Linked DNA regions of Drosophila melanogaster. The gene in region 2 interacts genetically with the main gene of each other region. Each region holds a gene or a part of one and is shown on either strand. Other genes may lie near its edges.

Evidence for each region.
Region 1: of Sgsh (region 2) and Sod2, changing one enhances a phenotype caused by changing the other (phenotypic enhancement), as found in Drosophila melanogaster (one study listed by BioGRID).

Annotation. Positions count from the first base shown.
Region 1 is NT_033778.4:16,772,264-16,775,550, forward strand, and holds Sod2 (superoxide dismutase 2 (Mn)), read right to left. Parts: upstream 1,653-3,287; 5' UTR 1,527-1,652; coding exon 1,492-1,526; intron 1,376-1,491; coding exon 757-1,375; 3' UTR 522-756; downstream 1-521. Other genes in the region: Arp53D (Actin-related protein 53D), read left to right, coding at 1,999-2,086, 2,140-3,287. UniProt on the Drosophila melanogaster protein: Destroys superoxide anion radicals which are normally produced within the cells and which are toxic to biological systems.
Region 2 is NT_033777.3:18,910,506-18,914,607, forward strand, and holds Sgsh (N-sulfoglucosamine sulfohydrolase), read right to left. Parts: upstream 2,418-4,102; 5' UTR 2,330-2,417; coding exon 755-2,329; 3' UTR 548-754; downstream 1-547.

The DNA.
Region 1 (3,287 bases), on a different chromosome or scaffold from region 2:
AAGTTTAGAAGTTAAATTCCTTGATGGGCGTCAACAGTTCTCCTCACACACTCACAATCACAGTTCTTTATTAAATTATTATTGCACTCAAGTGGTTTATTTTGTATGTTTTTCATTCGTCACCGCCCTCAGGAAATTAAATGATTTTCCTTTGTTTCGTACTGGTCTCTCGATTTCAAAACTCCGGGCGATTTTCGAGGATGGCCATTACGCGAACAGGCAACAAACGACTCTGCCAGCGGCTGGCCATTTGTTCCACCATTCGGATACGCGTGCTGGAAAATTGTTTGCAGCTGCGCGCACGCAAGTTCGGGAAAACTCGGTGGAAATGTCAATTTTCCTCCCCCGATTTCGCGGCAGGCTGACTTTTGTTTTGTTTTTGTTTGGCTCGCGCACAGCTGATTTGCTAGAGATGGCACCATGGGCGGCAGTGTTGTAAAACATTTACAGTATTTGCGATATTTTAATTTAATATAAAAATTAATTTTTTTGGAGCGTAATAAAATTGATAAAAATAAAAAATATGAATAGGTATATGTATATTTTTTAATTCCTCAATGAAGTAATAGTTTCAATACGCCTTTGTGAAGCGTTATCTTCGGAAATTATGTTTTAAATTGTTTTATTCCCATTCATAAAAATTATAAAAATTAGTTGCTAGCTGGTACCAATTTATTAGCCGCAACTTAGACTACAATTTAGGATCTCCGATCCGCAGATGCTTATAGATTAAACATACGCAATCGCCGGCTGTGCTTAGCAACCGAGCTTCTTGGCCTCCTGGAAGCGGCACGAGATGTCATCCCAGTTGGCGATGTCCCAGATGGCCTCCACGTAGGAGGGACGCACGTTCTTGTACTGCAGATAGTAGGCGTGCTCCCAGACATCGATGCCGAAGAGCGGGATCAGGCCGGTGGAGGCCTCCAGGGGATCCTGGTTGGGCAGGGCGGCCAGTTGCAGTTTGCCCGACTTCTTGTTGAAGCCCAGCCAGCCCCAGCCGGAGCCCTGGACCGCCACGGTCAGCGTGGTCAGCTCCTTTTTGAACTCCTCGAGGCTCTTCCACTGCGACTCGATGGCCTTCTTCAGATCATCGCTGGGCTGGGTCTTGTTGGGCGAGAGGTTCTGCCAGAAGATGGTGTGGTTGATGTGGCCACCGCCATTGAAACGCAGGGCAGGAGCCAGCTGAATCAGCTTGGTGGTGTCGCTCTTCGACTTGGCCTCCTCCAGCTGCTCCTCGGCGGCATTTAGATTGTTGACGTAGGTCTGGTGGTGCTTCTGGTGATGCAGCTCCATGATCTCCCGGCAGATGATAGGCTCCAGGGCGGCATAGTCGTAGGGCAGCTTCGGTAGGGTGTGCTTGCCACGCACCGCCAGGCTGCAAAGGGTTAAGTGTGTCTTGTTTTATAATGTCCTCAAGATCAGGGTCGCCATTTGTTGCTATTTATGTAATCAGCCGGCATCGATTTGGGCATACTTTTTTTCGCAACTTACCTTGCAGTTTGCGAAATTTTACGGGCCACGAACATATCTGCGTTTTATTCGACTGCTAATAAGGCTAAGTCCCGATATCAGATTTTATATCAAATAAAACAAGGCTTACGTTCTCGTTATTTCGCTTGTTCTATTTGAACAATTTACTGCTAGAGATGAGCAGATGAGAAAATATCGAAAGACCCCAATCAGTCAGTGATGTGAGATCAACTTATATATATTGAAGTTAAATAGTAAAACTAAAAGAAATTAAAAACTATTTTTAATTGAAACATTGCACTGAAACATATTCAAATCATATTGAGGATTTCTTAAATATTTCTTATGTTTAAATACTACTTTAGTGACTATTAGCATATTTTAGCTGCTTACGTATCGACTGCATCCATTCGATTGATACTTGAATTAATCGATTTTTGGCCTCTGTATGTCATGGCGCTAAATTGGAAATAAACCATGAAATTAACGTCATAAGTTTAAAAATCCGACTGGAACACAGCACACAACATGTCTACATTTCAAATACCTTCCCGAATCAAAATCGATATAACAAATAAACGGGCACAGAACATTCTTCACAAATATCTACATTTACGTAAGTTGCTTAAATAAGCTAAAGATTTTATGATTTGACCATGATTCGTTCAGCAACCTCTCCTGGAAACATGAGCAGCGAGGTAGATAGTAATTCACACCACGCCGCAGTGGTTATTGACAACGGCTCTGGAGTATGTAAGGCTGGATTCTCCCCAGAAGATACTCCCCGTGCTGTCTTCCCGTCGATTGTGGGCAGACCTCGTCACCTGAACGTCCTGCTGGATTCCGTGATCGGTGATAGTGTTATTGGCGAGGCGGCAGCCCGAAAAAGGGGAATACTAACCCTAAAGTATCCCATCGAGCACGGAATGGTCAAGAACTGGGATGAAATGGAGATGGTTTGGCAGCACACGTACGAGCTCTTGCGGGCGGATCCAATGGATTTGCCGGCTCTACTCACCGAAGCCCCACTGAATCCGAAGAAGAATAGAGAGAAGATGACAGAGATTATGTTCGAACACTTTCAGGTGCCAGCTTTTTATGTAGCAGTTCAGGCTGTGCTCTCACTTTACGCCACCGGGCGTACTGTGGGCATTGTGGTGGACTCGGGTGATGGTGTGACGCACACGGTACCGATCTACGAAGGATTTGCCCTGCCCCACGCCTGTGTACGAGTTGATCTGGCCGGCAGGGACCTCACCGATTATCTATGCAAGCTGCTTCTGGAGAGGGGCGTTACAATGGGCACCTCTGCTGAACGGGAAATCGTGCGTGAAATCAAGGAGAAACTCTGCTATGTGTCAATGAACTATGCCAAGGAAATGGATCTCCACGGAAAGGTGGAAACCTATGAGCTGCCAGATGGGCAGAAAATCGTTTTGGGCTGCGAGAGATTCCGCTGCCCGGAGGCTCTCTTCCAACCCAGTTTGCTGGGTCAGGAGGTGATGGGCATCCACGAGGCCACCCATCACTCGATAACCAACTGCGACATGGATCTGCGAAAGGATATGTATGCGAACATTGTTCTCTCTGGCGGTACGACCATGTTTCGTAACATCGAGCATAGATTCCTGCAAGACCTAACCGAAATGGCTCCACCATCCATCCGAATCAAGGTTAACGCTAGTCCAGACCGCAGATTCTCCGTTTGGACGGGTGGTTCCGTCTTGGCCTCACTCACGAGCTTCCAAAACATGTGGATCGACAGCTTGGAGTACGAAGAAGTTGGTTCCGCCATAGTCCATCGAAAGTGTTTTTAG
Region 2 (4,102 bases):
GGTGGGCGATGTGGGAATCCGGAGGCGCCACCAATAAACTACAACAGAAGCATTGAAATTTTCGATTTTCCACACACAGACACAGGCAGCCGCCAGCACACCCTCCCCTCCCCTATCCCACTGACCCAGTGGGCATGACATTGAAACGTGACGCAGCATCCAACCCCTGATGCCCACGCCTCCAGTCCAAAAAGTGGGTGAGGTCATGCTGCCAGGACACGAGTGTTTGCCAGTCTGGGCTGATGCAACCAATTCAGTCAGTGGGGGAATCTTCAGTCTTCTTTCTTTGCCAATTCTGTTGGCTATTTTTTTGGCATTGCGCAGGTGAAAATCAAGGCAATATATTTTTATCTGTTTGTTTGTAAAAAGCAATTAAAGTTTTCCCTTAATGTAAACTTGGAAATTTGTTCAAAGAACATACATATGTACATACTCTAAACAAATGCTTAATTCTTATGATTACCATTGCTTTTGAAAACATTGATCTTTTTATTAGCCATGCTTAAAGATTAGCAGCTCGCTTCAAAGTTAAACAAAGTTTATTATTGAAAGTATTGTATGTTACTTTTTTTTTATTATTTTAATAAGAATATACATTAATATAATATTATCATTTCTACCTTTTGCAATTCCTATTTGTATGACCGCAACTGTAACGGCATGTGAAGTGAAAAACATTGGCATGGTTGAGTTATCAACCATTGGACATGCGATAAGACAACACACCCAATCTATTGAATACTCTTAGTCAGACCTACGAGAAGACCACATACTCCTCATACTGACCGAGAATCCTGCGCTTGGGCCGCTGCAACGCCTCGTGGCCCAAGGTCAGACAGACGGGCTGATCCTTGTAGACGCCCTGCTCCTGGAGCACAGCGTGCGGAGCACATCGCCAGGGATCCTTGGTGGCTACCTGCCAGTCGAACAGTTGCTCGCGTAACTGCTTCAGGGTGCCATTGTACTTGGCCTTATCGGCCAGATTGAAACGCTCCAAGGGATCCGTCTTAATGTCGTACAGCTCCCATTCGGGTCGCTGGTAGTACTGCAACAAGGAACGATACCATGGCAGAGTTTGCTTCCTGAGAGTGGCATTCAATATCTGCTGGAATGTGGGTGAAGTGTAAAAGTCCTGGTCGATGGGGAAGTCTGCCCAGTAGTTGATATTATGGATAAGCTTGTAGCGCCTATTGCGCACCATTCTCATGGGATAGGCCATGGTCACCTCGTGGTAACTGTGACTACCGAACACCGAATCGCTCTCCTTGATCGGAGGTTCCTCCCGCAGTACTGGGAGTATCGATCTGCCAACGATTTTGGTGTCATTCGGTCGGGGAATCTGAAGAGCATCCATTACACTGGGGTATATATCCAAAAGACTGACCATGGCAGCAGTGGCTTCATGATGACGATCCTCCTTATTGGGAGAGCTAATGATCAGGGGCGATCGTATGCCGTGCTCGTAGAGATTGGTTCTGCCTCCGGGAAACGGTGGTCCATTGTCGGAGGTGTAGATCACGAGTGTCTGATCTGCCACGCCGGCTGCTTCTAGCTCCTTCAGCATTAGACCAACTCCCTGATCCAACCTCGAGATGGTCATGTACTGAGCAGCCAGCTCCTGACGCACTACATCCGTGTCGGGCAGCCAGGCGGGCACGTCCAGGTTACGCCAATCGTAGTAGATGGGCTTCCAGTCGGGTATGCTGCCCATTCCCTCCTCTCCGCTGCCCCAACGCTCACAGAATTCTCCAAACTGCGGGGTGATGTGGCCACAACGATGGGGATCATGGAAGCCGACCATCAGGAAGAAGGGTTTCTTTTCGTCCTTGGCCTGCTTGAGAAACTGCCTGGCATACTCCTTCATCCGGGTGATGTTTCTGCCAATCTGGTTGATGGAATGCTGCTCCTCTGTTTGCTCGAAATCGAAACGGAAATTGTTGGCGGCCCCAACATGTTTCTTGCCAATGATGCCGCTCAAGATCCGTCCGCCACTTTGATCACGGATTAAATTGGGCAGCGATCCGGTATCCGGAAGAACATTGAAGTTGTGCACGCCCTGATGGAGTCCATACATTCCGCTGGAGTGACCAGCCTGGCCGGTGAGCAACTGCGAGCGACTGGGACTGCAACTGCTTACCGAGGTGAAGGCGTTGTTGAAAAGCAATCCGCGTTTTGCCAGTGCGTCCAGATTGGGAGTTTGGCAGAATTTGTTCAGATAGGCGCCCGATTCGAAGCCGGCATCGTCAGCCAGAAGCAGCAGGACATTCTGCGGGCCAGCGGAGCAACCAGCAATTAGCCATAGTGTAAAAATCCACTGCAGAAATTGCATGTTGACATAAATCCAGTTCCAAATCCAAATTAAATATATTTGAGAGCGCAGAACAAAGCGATTCTTCAGTCGACGTCAGCGTACTGAAGTACGGCTCAAGAGAGCCGCATACTTTTAAGTGTCCACAAAGCCTCTCATTTCTCCGTTCTCCGTTTAAGACGCATTCAATTCCATTCCCAGTTCCAGTTTTAATCTCATCAACACAACAAATGCTCAGCGGGAGCGCGCCTAGGTACATTCACTTTGCCCGACTTTCTTTGGGAGCGGTTTGACTACAGTCAACACACCATACAGAGAACTAAAGTGTGAGGGTACTGTACAGTCATACGATTAAAGAATCATCATAAATATCAGTGAGATATATCTGAACAGTATAAAAAACAGCACTTCCACAAAAAAAATGTTTCATTTGAAATTTAAAATGCTTTAAAAACACTTTACATTTATAAACCATTAAAACACAGCCAATGAGCTGTTATAAAACATATGTACATTTAACTAGTATATATTCAACTGTATTGTATTGTAACATTTTGTGTACTTTGGTAAATTATAACCCGCCATATAATAATAAGCAGTATTCTTTTGTGACAGACATGGAAATAGATTTAAATCACCAAGAGTTTGGTTTGCATGACTCTGGCCATTAGGTGATCAACACGTTGTACTTTCTGATTTTATCTTGCGCCATGGAGAAGATAAAAGCAGGAACAGTGTCGCCAAATGGAACCACGTCAGGGTGTCAAGGCCAATCGCAAAGTGCAATGCGATTGTATGTTTTGAAAAATTATAAATCTACAAAACAAATGTTCGTTCTGCTTGTTTAGGCTTTTCTGTGTCGAAATGCGCAGTTTCTTCCAGCGACTAAAGAGTTTTCACATTGGGTGAGCTCATCTTATGTAAGTGGACAACCCCCAAAATGAATCATCGGCCGGCTAATTTAAGCCAGCCAGCCAGCTACAGTTTAAGCCACCCCCTTTTTGCCCTGCACCGGTGTGAAAATTTCGCCCAACATGTTTAACAACACTATGAGTTTTCCAAAAGTTGTGGCAACATGTTGCCAAGAGATTTTCGCAGTCTCTGGCAACAAGCCAACAATACGAATCAGCTGGGCCAGACTAAAACAGCTGTTGCAACGTGTGGCAAGTGTTGCATCAGCCAATCTCAACCAGCGAGAGAGAGTTTCACTCACGTGGAGAGAAAGAGTGCGAATCTGTATTGTTTGTTGTTGCTGCATGGCAGGCTGCCAAACCAGTTGCCCTATACCTTTTGGAGCGGACATAGGTGACATATGTAACCATAAATACTTACATTTACATTAAAAATCCTGTGAATGATCATATGAATATAAATGAATATTTAGGCGCGAAAAAATACGCAAAGTATTGAACTATACTTAAGTTTCGCGGCTTTTTATTAAATACCAGTTTATTAACCCTTTGTGAGCAAACATAGTTGCTATTACTTACAACCTTAATATCTACGTTTCTAAATTATCTGGGTGCAGAGTAAAATTTATTCTTTTTTTTTAGCTTCTCTTATCTATTGTAGCCAATTTAGACCGAAATGCTATCTGTGCAATTTTCAGACTGTCGCTAGCCAAATAATATGAACGGCTATGAATAATCTGTCTGCGTTTTGCACAGTTTATTGAAAATATATATATTTTTTGTTATATTAACTTAACTGTGTTGTATGTAATACTTTGCCTCAAGTTAATAGCACATGGAAATTTTTTTTTTTCAGAACTTAAATCAGTTGATGCTAATGCAT